Linked DNA regions of Danio rerio. The protein of the gene in region 1 binds, or shares a complex with, the protein of each later gene. Links are inferred from orthologs where the notes say so. Each region holds a gene or a part of one and is shown in the gene's direction. Other genes may lie near its edges.

What was found.
Region 2: the proteins of serpina10b (region 1) and prozb are in contact, whole or in part, in a crystal structure (PDB 3H5C), measured with the Homo sapiens proteins. The link is inferred for Danio rerio from reciprocal best matches to the Homo sapiens genes SERPINA10 and PROZ. Residues at the interface, in NP_001094077.1 of Homo sapiens: Arg88, Lys89, Ser91, Met92, His94, Asp95, His257, Asp259, Lys260, Tyr261, Asn282, Phe283, Lys305, Met306, Asp308, His309, Leu310, Ala311, Leu312, Asp314, Tyr315, Leu316; in NP_003882.1 of Homo sapiens: Cys129, Pro131, Cys141, Leu142, Pro143, Ser151, His250, Met251, Arg252, Asp254, Ala257, Glu259, Asn260, Glu284, Lys285, Asp286, Phe287, His290, Leu291, Thr336, Thr337, Arg338, Arg390, Ser392, Leu393, Trp394, Gln397.

The regions. Positions count from the first base shown.
Region 1 is NC_133192.1:59,468,634-59,477,073, forward strand, and holds serpina10b (protein Z-dependent protease inhibitor), read left to right. Parts: upstream 1-3,589; 5' UTR 3,590-3,638; intron 3,639-4,795; 5' UTR 4,796-4,845; coding exon 4,846-5,419; intron 5,420-5,677; coding exon 5,678-5,951; intron 5,952-6,728; coding exon 6,729-6,876; intron 6,877-7,776; coding exon 7,777-7,968; 3' UTR 7,969-7,994; exon of another isoform or gene 7,995-8,099; 3' UTR 8,100-8,274; downstream 8,275-8,440. Other genes in the region: atxn3 (ataxin-3), read left to right, coding at 229-314, 410-476, 573-660, 759-879, 1,033-1,196, 1,571-1,673, 1,765-1,799, 2,011-2,048. UniProt on the Homo sapiens protein: Inhibits activity of the coagulation protease factor Xa in the presence of PROZ, calcium and phospholipids. Also inhibits factor XIa in the absence of cofactors.
Region 2 is NC_133176.1:417,200-424,284, forward strand, and holds the end of prozb (protein Z, vitamin K-dependent plasma glycoprotein b precursor), read left to right. Parts: intron 1-1,055; coding exon 1,056-1,080; intron 1,081-1,310; coding exon 1,311-1,424; intron 1,425-1,504; coding exon 1,505-1,636; intron 1,637-3,633; coding exon 3,634-3,698; intron 3,699-3,787; coding exon 3,788-3,905; intron 3,906-4,109; coding exon 4,110-4,603; 3' UTR 4,604-4,924; downstream 4,925-7,085. Other genes in the region: pcid2 (PCI domain-containing protein 2), read right to left, coding at 5,234-5,323, 5,581-5,704, 5,784-5,909, 6,072-6,145, 6,370-6,470, 6,690-6,831, 7,004-7,079. UniProt on the Homo sapiens protein: Appears to assist hemostasis by binding thrombin and promoting its association with phospholipid vesicles. Inhibits activity of the coagulation protease factor Xa in the presence of SERPINA10, calcium and phospholipids.

The DNA.
Region 1 (8,440 bases):
AACAGCTTACCAGTGTGGTGAAGAGGAACAGCAGCAGCAGCAGCAGCACACACTGCTGAACGCTTCACTGACACGGCTCACTCTGACATGTGCTGCAGAAACCAACACTGGAATACGTGGAAAACAAACGATGATGATGATGATGATGAACACATGAATTAAATGTTTATAGAGACCTGTGTGTGTTTGTGTGTGTGTGTGTGTGTGTGTGTGTGTGTGTGTGTGCAGGTGATCAGCAATGCTCTGGGTGTGTGGGGTCTGGAGATCGTCCTCTTCAACAGCAGAGAGTACCAGCAGCTGCAGATGGACCCCATGTGAGTGTGTGAGCGCTGTATCCTCTATGTGTGTGTGTGTGTGTGTGTGTGTGTGTCTCCTCTGCACACACTCATCCTCCTCTGCTGTCTTTCAGGCATGAGAAGGCCTTCATCTGCAACTATAAGGAGCACTGGTTCACCGTGCGCAAGCTGGGACAGCAGGTGTGTGTGTGTGTGTGTGTGTGTGTGTTCAGGGTCAGAAAGGTGTGTGTTTGTTGACTCTTTCTTTCTCTCTCTGTGTGTTTGTGTGTGTGTCAGTGGTTTAACCTGAACTCTCTGCTGACGGGTCCGGAGCTGATCTCAGACACATACCTGGCCCTGTTCCTCGCACAGCTGCAGCAGGAGGGTAACACTCATTATCGTGTGTGTGTGTGTGTGTGTGTGTGTGTGTGTGTGTGTGTGTGTGTGTGTGTCCGCTTCAGCGCTGCTCTTGTCCTCCTGCAGGTTACTCTATATTTGTGATTCGGGGGAATCTGCCGGAGTGTGAAGCGGATCAGATCCTGCGCATCATGAGGGTGGAGCAGCAGCAGCGGCCCAAGCTGATCGGAGAGGAGGAGACGCAGAGGTACACACACACACACACACACACACACACACACACACACACACACACACACACACACACACACACACACTGGAGTCTCCATAATTGAGCACTGCAGCTGATTGTGTGTGTGTGTGTGTGTGTGTGTATATATGTATGTGTGTATGTTGTCAGGATGTCAGCACCGCACGCGTCTGAAACCACACACACTGCAGAGGAGCCGGTGCTGGACGAGGATGAGGAGGAGCTGAGGAAGGCTCTCGCGCTCAGCAGACAAGACCTGCAGGTGGAGGATGAGGAGGCAGACCTGCGCAGAGCCATACAGATGAGCATGCAGGGTGAGCACACACACACACACACACACACACACACACACACACACACAGCTGTAGTGATGTGTGTACTGCACAGACCGTATATTCTCTAAACTCAACCCTCACAGTGAACACTGCACCTTCACATCTTCACAATCCTCCGTTCTGCCTGATCTGCACGCTTGTTTACCTGTGATCATCTCAATTTGATCCTCACGGTGATCCAAGTCCCCATGAGTCTGTGTGCATTTAGGTTCAAGTCCCCACTGAGATATAAAAACCAGTACAAACACTTATACAAACTCACACAGTGATGTACTCTCTCTCTCTCTCTCTCACACACACACACACACACACACACACACACACACACACACACACACTCTCTCGTCCTGTAGGCAGCAGTGATGCGGGATCCTCGGCTCCTGCAGGGGGCAGCAGTGAGAAGCAGACGCTCAGTGCAGAGGAGCTGCGCAGGAGGAGACAGGCTTACTTCGACAGGTGAGCACACACACACACACACACACACACACACATCATGCAGACGTGATGATCAGTCAAGAGTAAACGCTGAGTGTGTGATCTGTGACAGGCAGCAGAACGCACAGGACAGCAGCAGCAGCACAGGTAAGAGGAGAGCGCGCACACACACACACACACACACACACACTATAGGAGCAGTGTGAAAGGGTCTGTTCACCCAGAGCTCATCCTGTGGTTAGTGACTCTCCTCGTGTTGGCGGAGCGGTGCAGGACGGGTCATTAACAGCAGAATGCTGCTGTTTGGGTGAGCCGTCCCTTTAAGAGCCGGTCTGAGCGCTCTGCTGTCGGTTTGCAGGAGGCGGGACGGACAGCGGGCCCAAACCCACCCAGTGACGTTGCCGTGGCGACGGTGACAGACGCACCGCTCGCCCTGAACACGCCCCCTGCGGGGATGATGGGAACGACGCCTCGGCTCAGCACAGCTCCGGCCGGCGGGCTCATTACGGACGCTCGTTTAGCTTTGCTTGACCTCTGTGTGTGGAGCGGGAAGCGTTTCCGGAACATTCCTCTTCCTCAGACTGCCTTCAGTGCACACCAGAGCCAGACGCGGACACTGGAACACGCCCAAGTGCATTCTGGGACCATTCGGGCTTTACTGGGTTTCTGCATATTTCCTCTTCTCCTCTGTGAATTACCGTGTGTGTGTGTGTGTGTGTGTGTGTGTGTGTGTGTGTGTGTGTGTGTGTGTGTGTGTTTGATCTATTCACTAATGAAGGTAGACTCTCACGCACCCTAGGTAGTGAACACTGTGTGCGTGAGGGCGGAGCTCACGTAGGCCGGACCAGAGAATCAACATGTGATGATTTCAGCCAATCAGGAGTGTACATGTGATGATTTCAGCCAATCAGACGCGCTTCAGTCAGTCAGGTGTCGTCCCTCAGGCTCTGCTTGTCTTCATTTGTGTGGTTTGGCGTTCAGCAATAGTTTGTAAGTGATCTGGATGACTCTTGCACTTCTCTACACACACTTCTGTTTCTTGAATAAAGGATTTGCTGGAGTGGACTGAAGATGTGGGATGTGTGTTTCATTAGCGATGATGAAAAGGATGAAAAAGTGAAAATGAAAAAGGTTCCAGAAAACAGAACTTATGTTCCTTTGTTTGTGAAAAAATACAACAATATATATGTTATTATAATGCCTGACATGTGTATTTTACAAAACTGAGACCCAAAGCTAAATATCTGAGCAAGTTATAGTCCCAATTTGAAGTTGAAATCTCTTTTGGTAATGTTTATTTTGGCTGCAGTACCAGACATGACCACTGGTTTCCATTCAGTTTACATTGGTGAGCATACAAGAGCGAACCCTGAGTTTGGAGAAGTATAAACTGTATTTTCACACACAGACAACGTGTGTAGAGTAGACATTAAATGAGGAAGCAGTATGGACAGTTTGGTGGTCTTTGCATTAAATTTAGCCTCTTAAAAACATCTAAACCTGTCTTCACACGAGGATTGCTGTAGCAAAGTAATGCTTTATTACGACTTCTTATGAATGACTTTTGTCCCGCGTGCACTGATTGGCGCAGTTATGCATTGACAGTGCTGTGAACTGTTATGGGATGATCAGATGCATGTCTGTTATTTTAATTATTAACGTTGTTTAAAATGCAGATCAGAGTGAACTTTCCCAGATTCATACATGTATACCCTCATACATAATATAATATGGTAAATTCCCCAGCACTGAAACACACACAGTGGCTATATGTGACATAACAGTGACGCACTGGAGCGGCCGTCCTGATCCAGCTCTGAATGGTTTGTTTGTGGTCAGTTCTGGCCTCTGCTGACCCAGACTGACCCGCAGGGCTGGAAACAGTTTGATTGTTAATAGATAATCTCTGATGTTCACTGAACTTTGTCTCTGTAAACAGACGAATCACAACACACGGCTCGAGATCTTCATCTGCCGCATCTGCGCGTGAGTACACGACATTTTAAAGGCTCTTTATATTCTTCTGGGTTTTGCCTTTCTGTTTTAATGCTCGTGGATTGCCTTTGGTACAGATTTACTCTGTTTCACATGGTCATAAACACAGCATGCATGGCTAACTGAGTGTGTGTGCTCTTGTGTAATGTGACAGGGAATATTTCTAACTCTGTATCGATTGCTGTGGATCTGCATCTGTTACTGGTGTTGTGCATGTCTGTGAACCTTTTGTCAAAGCATTGTTGAGGCGGTCTTCAATAGTCAATATGAAGAGTTTCAGTGCTGACATATGGAAGTTCATAATAGTTGGAAAGCTTTAGTGAGGGATAAAGGGAATCCAGGCAGTCGTTGTCTCAGAATAAAGCCGGACAGGTTTATCAGCAGCTGTTGTAGAGGACTGAAGGGTTTATTCTGTGAACACGACCCACTGGACACAACCCTCCTTTATCCTGATTATTACACGGCTGCTGGCCACAACATATAAACATTAGACGCAGAACATTGATCTGAGCTGTAATAGTAACACGGGCGTCTGTAGCTCCGCCCTCTTCTGAAATGACAATCTCATTTGCATTTAAAGCAACAGTCTCCAAAACACTACAGTTAGGATCAAAGCCTGAAAGGGTCAGCTTCAGAGAGCTGGAGAACATCATCTGTGTGCTGTTCTCCACTCAAAGTGAAACACAAACACTGTAGAACGGGGATGTCCAAACTCGGTCCTGGAGAGTTTAGCTCCAACCCTAATCGAACACACCTGAACCAGCTAATCAAGCTCTGACTAGATACACTAGAGCAGGGGTGGCCAACCCTGTTCCTGGAGAGCCACCTTCCTGCAGATTTCAGTTGCAGCCCATATCAAACACACCTGCCTGTAATGATCACCTGGTGTTCAGGTCCTAATTAAATGGTTCAGGTGTGTTTGATATGGGCAGCACCTGAAATCTGCAGGAAGGGAGATCTCCAGGAACAGGGTTGGCCATTCCTGAACTAGAAGCTTCCAGGCAGGTGTGTTGGAGCTAAACTCTCCAGGCCCGAGTTTGGACAGCCCTGCTCTGGACACAGCTGAGATGCATGTACAGCGTTTAGAAAGGGACACAATAGGTCTGCTTTAACGTCTGTTGTACCTCCATTGTGTTATCCCTGTGTAGGGCGTCTGACGACCATCTTCAGCTCCAGAGTTTCCCACAGAGAGTGTAAGATGGAGTTCAGACTTCTCCTCGTCTTCATTTCCGCGTGTTTTCTGTGCTCTGCTGAACATGAAGAGCTCAGAACTCCTGATATCTCAGATCTGGCCTTCAGAAACACAGACTTCGCCATCAACCTCTACCGCAAGATCTCCAGTTTGCACGACAGGAACGTGGTGTTCTCTCCGCTGAGCGTCTCCACGTGTTTCTCGGCGCTCCTGCTGGCGGCGCAGGGCTCCACGCGCACCGAGATACTGAAGGGTCTGAATCTGGAGGCTCTGGATGGAGGAGACTCCCGGCGGGTTCCTGAACTCTTCCAGCAGCTCCACCAGAACATCTCCCTGCAGATGGAGCAGGGCACGGCGCTCTTCCTGGACCAGCACTTCCACCTGCAGACCAACTTCAGCCAGCAGATCCAGAGGTTCTTCAATGCGGAGGTGCTCAGGGTGGACTTCAGCAAGCCGGCGGTCTGCAGGAGCCTCATCAATGAGTTCGTCAGCAGAAAGACCGGCCGGAAAGTGCTGGAGATGCTGGAGAGCGTGGAGCCGCTCACGCAGATGATGCTCCTCAACACCATCTTCTACAAGGGTAAGACTTACTCCAGACACAGATATGAGCTTCAGCTCTGGGATTGCACTGATAAATGTGGAGCCAAAGAACATTGAGTGAGTGAATGAGTGATGTCCAATGCATGTTGTGTTGACATTAAGATGGGATGGAAGTCAGGGGTTACAGGTTTTCAGCTCTCTCCAGATCATAAAGGTTTGGAACCGCTTGAGGGAGAGTAAACAGCGAGTGAATGTTGATCTTTGAGGGAGCTGTCCCTTTACACTCTTTGTTCTGCAGGTGATTGGGAGCGTCCGTTCAACCCCAACAACACAGAGAAGAGCCGCTTCTACGTGGACAAATACAACATCGTTCAGGTGCCCATGATGATGCTGGAGGAGAAGTTCTCTGTGGTGGAGGACCGGGATCTGCGCGCTCGAGTGCTGCGTCTGCCGTACCGCGGTGGAGCCTCCATGCTGATCCTCCTGCCCAACGCTGACGCAGACTACACCGCCATCGAGGACGAGATCAGCGCCGAGCGGCTCCACGGCTGGATCAAGAACATGAGGAGAATGTGAGCCACACGCTGGGATGCACTCAGTCACTGGCCACTGACAACCATAGGCCGAACAAATGGAGGGAAAGTGTCACTGCGCTACTGTAGAGGCTTCCACACCGCACACGGGACGCACTTCACTATGAGCCTGTCCACAGCTGCTCTCGTCATGCTTTTCCAAATGTTTACAGTATTTCTGAAACCGTTTCCATTTCACCACATGAGCGCGTCTCTGTTAAATGGACACGATGCCCGTCTTCAACTCAGGCGCTATATGCTCATTTATTTAGGTGACGTCAACTACAGCATCAGATACGACACCTTCTATTGAAATAATATTGATGTTTACAGAAACGTAAGATATATCTTTGACATATAAGTAATATTGAATCACACTGAGGATCATCACGAGCGCACGATACTCCATTATTAGTGTAACGGAGGCCAGCTGGTGAGTGCTGTGCAGGTAAACCTCCATGGTCTTAACCAACTCCCATGCGGAAGGTCGCTGGTTCGATACCAGCTCGGAGCGGGTTGGGTGGGCTAGGACCGGCGGGGTTACATTAGCTAAATGAAACATGTTTTGTCATCCAGACAGGTGCAGAAGCTCATTCAGAACTGTACAGCAGAAAATAACCCTGTCCTCAGCTTCCCCCATGGGCAGCTTCTTCTGCTTGTTTCAAGGGAAAACTCCTGTAGTTTAGAGTCTGACGGCTTTTCTTGATGGTGTGTGTGTGTTTTACCTTGACTGGTGTGTTTTCTGTTGACGGGTGGTGTTGTGTGTGTGTGTGTCAGGAAGATGGAGGTGCATCTGCCCCGGTTCCGCATGGATCAGTCGTACCACATGCATGAGCTCCTGCCTCAGCTGGGCATCAGCAGCGTCTTCCAGGACTCCGCAGATCTCACCGGGCTAAGCAGAGACGCACATCTGAAGGTCTCTCAGGTGACTGAACGCATACACACTCACACACACTTACATACACATTGAATAAAACACACACACACACACACATATCCAACAAAACACATATGCACACAAATACACACACAAATCTGCAATAAAACACACATGCACACAGAAACACACACACACACACACACACAAATTTACACACACATATATATGTGCACAAGTATGCCGCAATACACATGCACACACAAATCTGCAATAAAACACACATGCACACAGAAACACAACACAAACAAATAGGCATGCACACAGAAACACACATATGCACACAAACAGACACACACAAATACACACATGTGCAAATATGCAATAAAACACACATGCACACAGAAACACACTCAACACACACATGCAGTGAAACATACACAAACACACGTGCACATGTAAAAGTAAAACACACATACAGACACACTCACACAACACGCACACAAATACACACACCGGCACAAATATGCAATAACACACACATATACACACAGAAAAACACTCAACACAACACATACATGTGCGCATCTATGCAGTAAAACATACACACCACACACAGAAACACACAACACGCACGCACACACATGTCATGTGCACACATGTGCAATTAAACACATATGCACACACACACACACACACAAGTTTGTTTCCTATCTCAGTGAGGACATTAGACTTCCATAGTTTTTCTGTCAGGTTAATGAGAGTGTCTGTGGCCTAGCCCAGGCCCTGACCCTAACCTTAAGCGTCTCAGAAACATCCGCTCATCACAGACGTGTTTGTGTATATGTGTCTCTGTATGTGTGTGTTTGTTTCTGTGTGTTTCTGTGTGTGTGTGTGTGTGTGTGTGTGTGTGTGTGTGTGTGTGTGTGTGTGTGTGTGCGCTCGCAGGTTCTTCATAAGGCAGTGATAGAGGTGTATGAGCAGGGCACCAGCGCTGCCTCCTCCACATCAGTGGGCATCACGGCGTACTCTCTGCCGGACACCTTCATCATCAACAGACCCTTCTTCTTCTTCCTCTACCACGAGGAGACCGCCAGCCTGCTGTTCATGGGCAGAGTCATCGACCCCACGCTCAGCTGACACACACACTCTGATGGAGACCGACCGCCCTCTCACACACACACACACACAACACACAACACATACACACATTTAATGGAGACCATATTCATAAACAGACACACACACACACAACAAACACATTGATGGAGACATTTCTCATTAACACACACAACACACAAACATTGATGGAGACATTTCTCGTAAACACACACACACACACACAGACGGAGGCAATACTCATAGACACACACAGATTTCAGAAAGTTGCAGAGAAAATGTTTTTAAAAATGCCATAATAAAAGCATTTGGGTTATTTCCTTTGGACTTTTAGGCCTGAATGTTTCATCATATGTGCCATTTTCTTCTTTAATGTCATTTACATCCTATATTTGATGATCATTAATACATTATTGCATTTTGAATAGTAGAAAATCTAAATAAAGCGATTATTATCAGTACACGGCTGTGGGGACAAGCAGTTCTGTAGTAG
Region 2 (7,085 bases), on another chromosome or scaffold:
GAGAAGTAGATCGGTTTGACTGTACAAGTGAAATACCTTCACACTGCCTGTGCTAAATCATTTGTCGTCGGTACGCAGAGGGGTGATCTGCTCTCGGGCTGCAGGTGGGAGAGGCTGCTGTAGAGGACTGACTGGGCCGCCTGTCAGTGCTGTGAGGCGGGGGAGGGGCCGGCGGCATCACACGCAGCTCGTTGAGAAGAGTAGGGACGGTACAGTATGGACAAATGACAGTCTAAAAAATCTCCAATAACACACAAAAAAGTCGCTAGATTTGTCGCTAGGGGGGTCTGAAAAGTCGCTAAATCTAGTGACAAAGTCGCTAAGTTGGCAACATTGGCGGCAAGCAATCAGAATGAAGTAGTCCACCGCTTGAGAGGTGTTCAGAGAACACAGACCTGTGAACTTTGGTTCCGACCACAGTTGTTCCCAACAGTTTATTGAAAATCGCGAAGACGCGGGGCCCCCTAATTACGCGGGGCCCCCCCGCGGTGCGTGCCCTGCGGGCCCGTCCGCTACGCCACTGATCTGCATTATTGACAAAATCCCGTCTGGTCATCAACTCACCGATGGCAGGAGCAGAAGCGCAGGAATGGTGTTTTAATCGGGTATCCTGATGAAAGGTTAACTGGTTTCAGAAAGTCCGTCGTCATGTTTTTGTCTTTAATTACGCTTCATTACGATCACTGATGTTGATTATGACCGAATGCCCGCGAAACATGCGCGCCACAACTGAGCGCGGGCTAATTGACTCCTCCCACTTCATGACGACTGTTTAAAAAGCACAGCTGTTTCATCATAATTAATTTTCTTTACTTTCATTTAATTCGTTTTTTGTCAGTGGAAATGAAAAAGGGAGAGAAAATGAGTTTATCAGGTGACCTTAATAACACATGACCCCGTGAAGCCCCGCCCTCGAGCTTAAATACTTCGTTGTAAATGTTTTAGCTTTTATTAAGTTATAACATTTTATTAAGTTATAAGTTTTCAAATAGTATAACTAAATGCTACTGAAAGTTTAACCTAACTCACTCATACATCTCTTTTCCCTGTTAAAGAATGAGTTCTGGGCCAAATACTATGGTGAGTGACCTTCAGAATGTTTATTCAATGATTGAATGAAATGATTCTGACAGCTTGTTTACATTATTTAAAGATAATTTTTAATTGTTTTAGACTTTTACATAAAGCCTTGTGCTCTTCATTTGTTCTATGTTTAATTATTTATATTTTGAAGTCTTTTCAGTTTAGATACTAAAGCTCCTCTGCTATATTACTGCAGTTGTATTAAATGAGCATATTTCGGCTGTCAGATGGAGACCAGTGCAGATCTAACCCGTGTCAACATGGCGGCACGTGTAAGGATGGCATCGGCCGATACACCTGTACCTGTGCGGAGGCGTACAGCGGGCACGACTGTCAGACAGGTAAATGTGCAATTGGCACCAGTGAACATGAGATCAGTGTGTCTGATGCATGTCTGACGCTTCACCCTGCTGTTTTCCAGATAAATCCCAGTGTCCATCTGCTGGCCCTTTAGCATGTGAGCACTTCTGCAGGCCGTCAACAGCTGCATACCGATGCTTCTGTGCTCGCGGATACACACTCAACAGCGACGGCAGGAGCTGCTCACCTAACGGTACTCAAACACTCACAAATCACTCAAACACTTGCTGAAACACACAAATCACTGAAACTCGCTGCATTTAATTGCTTCATTACCACTGCATCTTTGCTTCATTACCGCAATATTACTTCATTTATGCAATATTACCGCTACATCTTTGTTTTATTATTGCTGTATCTTTGCTTCATTACCGCTACATCTTTGGTTTATTATTACTGTATTTATGCATCATTACGGCAACATCTTTGCTTCATTACTGCTACATATTTGTTTCATTAGTGCTGTATCTATGCATCATTACCGCTACATCTTTGCTTCATTACCGCTACATCATTGTTGCATAACTGCTGCATCTTTGCTTCATTATTGTTGTATCTATGCTTCATTACCGCTACATCTTTGGTTTATTATTACTGTATTTATGCATTATTACCGCTACATCTTTGCTTCATTAATGCTACATCTGTTTTATTATCGCTGTATCTATGCATCATTACCGCTACATCTTTGCTTCATTACAGCTACATCTGTTTTATTATTGCTGTATCTTTGCTTCATTACCGCTACATCTTTGGTTTATTATTACTGTATTTATGCATCATTACCGCTACATCTTTGCTTCATTACTGCTACATATTTGTTACATTATTGCTCTATCTTTGCTTCATTACCACTACATATTTGTTTCATTAGTGCTGTATCTATGCATCATTATTTCATTAGTGCTGTATCTATGCATCATTACCGCTACATATTTGTTTCATTAGTGCTGTATCTATGCATCATTATTTCATTAGTGCTGTATCTATGCATCATTACCGCTACATATTTGTTTCATTAGTGCTGTATCTATGCATCATTATTTCATTAGTGCTGTATCTATGCATCATTACCGCTACATATTTGTTTCATTAGTGCTGTATCTATGCATCATTACCGCTACATATTTGTTTCATTAGTGCTGTATCTATGCATCATTACCGCTACATATTTGTTTCATTAGTGCTGTATCTATGCATCATTACCGCTACATATTTGTTTCATTTGTGCTGTATCTATGCATCATTAACACTGCATCTTTGCTTCATTACCGCTACATATTTGTTTCATTAGTGCTGTATCTATGCATCATTATTTCATTAGTGCTGTATCTATGCATCATTACCGCTACATATTTGTTTCATTAGTGCTGTATCTATGCATCAATACCGCTACATATTTGTTTCATTAGTGCTGTATCTATGCATCATTAACACTGCATCTTTGCTTCATTACCGCTACATATTTGTTTCATTAGTGCTGTATCTATGCATCATTATTTCATTAGTGCTGTATCTATGCATCATTACCGCTACATATTTGTTTCATTAGTGCTGTATCTATGCATCATTACCGCTACATATTTATTTCATTAGTGCTGTATCTATGCATCAATACCGCTACATATTTGTTTCATTAGTGCTGTATCTATGCATCATTAACACTGCATCTTTGCTTCATTACCGCTACATATTTGTTTCATTAGTGCTGTATCTATGCATCATTATTTCATTAGTGCTGTATCTATGCATCATTACTGCTACATATTTGTTTCATTAGTGCTGTATCTATGCATCAATACCGGTACATCTTTGCTTCATTACCGCTACATCATTGTTGCATAACTGCTGCATCTTTGCTTCATTATTGTTGTATCTATGCTTCATTACCGCTAGATCTTTGGTTTATTATTACTGTATTTATGCATTATTACCGCTACATATATATTTCATCATTGCTGTATGTATGCCTCAGTACCTCTGCATCTTTACCGCTCCGTCCTTGTTACATTTCTGCTGAATTGTGCTTCTTTACTGCTGCATTATTAGAAACTGCATATTTGCCTCATTTCTGCAGACCACAGAGTATGTGCTATTAATCACAAAATGATGGGTTAATTTCTTAGGAAAGACACGAGCATAAATATAAAAGGACTTCAATGCAATGTAAATCATTCTCGTTCTTCTCAGTCCAGAACCCGTGCGGGACGACGGAGATGTCCAGTTTCTGTCCTGATGGACGCTGCTCATGGGAGGTGAAAAGTAGATGAATCATCTTCAAACATGATCAGCCAATCAGAAGAGCAGCTGTTGAATATTCATCAGAGATGTGTGTTTTCTGCAGGTGAGGTTTCTGAACGCCAGCGGTCATGACGTGTGTCACGGTGTGATTCTGGGCCAGAAGTCTATTCTGACATCAGCCACATGTATGACTGCACTGCAGGATCTGCACTTCACTGTCGGTGAGAAACACACACTCATGTTTATCTCTGAGCCGAGAGCCATGTGTGGAGGTGCTGATCTGCATGTGTGTTATACCCGTCAACCCATTTTCCCAGGATTCTCCCATATTTGTTCTACTGCGGGGTGGTAATTTGTTTGTTTTCTGTGGGGGGGTTGAGGTAATCCCTTATTTGCGTGTTGACATGGTGTCTGGTGTTTTCCAGCGGTGGGCGTCTCCACTGCAGCTGTGCGCGTCTCCAGCTGGACACCTCATAAGCGTTTCCTCTCTGGTCCGGATGATGACCTGTGTTTCCTGGAGCTGCAGGAGCCGTTCCCCCCCAACATCAGCACCGTCCCGCTCTGCCTGCCTGAGAAAGACTACAGCGAGAACATCCTGATGAGGGCAGGGCGAGAGGGTGTGGCCGAGGGCGGAGCCACATACTCATACCTGTCATTGGACGACTGCCGTGACGCTCTGAACCTCACCTTCGTGATGACCAATAAGATGTTCTGCATGAAGCGTGAGTCTGCAGGCTCCGAGCGCTGCACTGTGAGCTCCGGCAGCCCCGCCGCCACACTGGAGGGAAAAACAGCCTTTCTGACAGGCGTGTCTCTGTCTGCGGGACGCTGCGGGGACACACTGCTGTTCACCAAACTGTCCCGATACCTGCACTGGCTGCGGCCGCTGCTGCTCGCCTCCGAGAGGGAGCAACCCTGAGAGGGAAACAGACTATACACAGAGCAGGATCTGATTTTGAAAGTAATGCAGTGCAATATTGAGCTGCTCCTTACTTGAGTTACTGAAGAGGAACTAGTAGCTTTACTTGGTTACCTGTTATGGTGAGTAATACGTTACATTACTGTTGAGTTATTTATAGCGATTCTAAAAATGATTGCATTGCAGTCGAGATTTAAAAGATAATAAGTTAAGAATTGTTTTATTTTAAAAACGATTTCCTGAAAACTCAGATGAGAATCAGTGTTTGGCTGAAAAAAATAATAAATTAAATAAATAAAATGACTACAACTGACAACAAAATACTTTCTTTCTTTTTTATGTGACATAATGTTCATTAAACATGTTATTCCTGTAAGATTCAACATCCGTAATGTGTACAAATCTGGATTAAATGTGAGTCATGTATAAAATAATATATTGTTTAATGCAATATAATTAAAATATTGCCATTCTAATGATTTTAGGCTGAATTTATAAATGATTGATCAGTAATTAAAAAAAGAAAATGTACAAAACAGTGTGATGTTTATCTAACAATATTCAGAAGAATATAAGACCGAAGCTCTGAGGATCAGTGTGTCTGTGATGGTGCATTCTGGGAGATGGAGTTCAGGAGATGCTGGACAGCGGAGGGAAGGGATTCTGCTTGCTGACCACCAGCTTCTGGTGCTGATGGGAAATATAGCCCTTAATGTGACCCTGAGAGACACAAAACACATAATCATATTCATAACTCATGAACTGGAAAGAAGAGAAGCAGCACCAGAATATGACCTGCAGACAGCGAGAACTCAAACCAAAATCATTTGATGCTGAAATATAAACTCAAATATTGCATGAAGGATCCATTAGAAATGTTGCCTTGTTGACTAATAATGATGTGTGTGAGGAGTGTGTGTGTGTGTGTGTGTGTGTGTGTGTGTGTGTGTGTGTGTGTGTGTGTGTGTGTGTCTCACCATGTAGATGAGGTTGGCCAGAATGCACTGCACCTCGTCGATGTCCACGTCCTCCACCTTCATCATCTGCAGCGACACCAGAAATGCAGCCAGAGGAAGCTGATGAGTCCTCAGGAGATGATACCTGCAGAGGAAGAAGATGTGATCTGCATGATCTGGGTGAACCACACACACACACACACACACACACACACAACACTCACACTTTCTTGAAGAGGTTTCTGTAGGTGATGATCTTCAGCTTCTCCAGGATGAGGAAGATCCCGCAGCGGATGAAGAACGTCTCGTGTTTGACCAGAGCGGCGTTCAGCAGCAGCAGATTCCCCTCACTGACACACACACACACACACACACACACACACACACACGAGCAGAGGATGATATGATGATTAAGACCTACAGCAATTTTACTGTGTGTGTGTGTGTGTGTGTGTGTGTGTGTGTGTGTGTGTGTGTGTGTGTGTGTGTGTGTGTGTGTGTGTGTGTTTTACCTGACAGCTTTAGTGACATCAGCAAACTGCATGAGGTCATATTTCTTCAGTAGCTGGTGTGTGGGCATGTGACCCTAAAAAAACCACACACACACACACACACACACACACTACTGTCACTTACACTGTTGCGCAACAGATCACGTTTACACAATCACATTTAGATTGGATAATTGCTGATTATCTGTGGAAACAAACATTTTAAGAGTTTGCACATTTAATCATAATGAAAATAAGAATTAATAATCATATAATAATCATAATAAATAATAATAACAATAATAAATGACATGTTTACCAGCAGCATCTTAACGGGCAGCAGGTAGATGAGGATCAGCCGCTTGTTCCTCTGGCAGGAGCGATGGCAGTGGGTAAAGGAGAACGACAGACACTCCTCAGCTGCACACACACACACACCTTCATCATCATCATCATCATCATCATCAACATCATCATTATGTACTGTAACATCATCACACTATAACAGCCCTCATCATCATCACATACCATCAACATGACAACCAAATTATTCATCATCTTCATCATAATTATCACCATAACAATCATCATCACCAAGCTTCCACCATAATGGCCATCCTCATCCTCATGTGGTCAGACCTGGTTTGAAGTCGCTGTCGAACATGGCCTTCCTGCCCACGTAGTATTTGTAGGTGACGCGCTGAGCCATGGTGTACTCGTCCTTCAGGTTGGAGCTGTCGATGGCGCGGATGAGCGGCTTACACAGGTGCAGCTTATTGATCTGACACACACACACACACACACACACACACACACACACATCAACTAGAGTCAGACATGTTGACCTGGCGGCGAACAGAAGACTGGATCACTACTCAAAGTGTCTGACTGAAGCAGTGACTGTAATAAAGATGTGGAAATATGATAAATACAGATACAGTATAGACTCTTACTTTGAAATAGATCTTGAAGAGCTGATTGATGAGGAACAACATTCCCCATTTCTTCGAGTCGTCAATCCCAGCGCGACTGAAA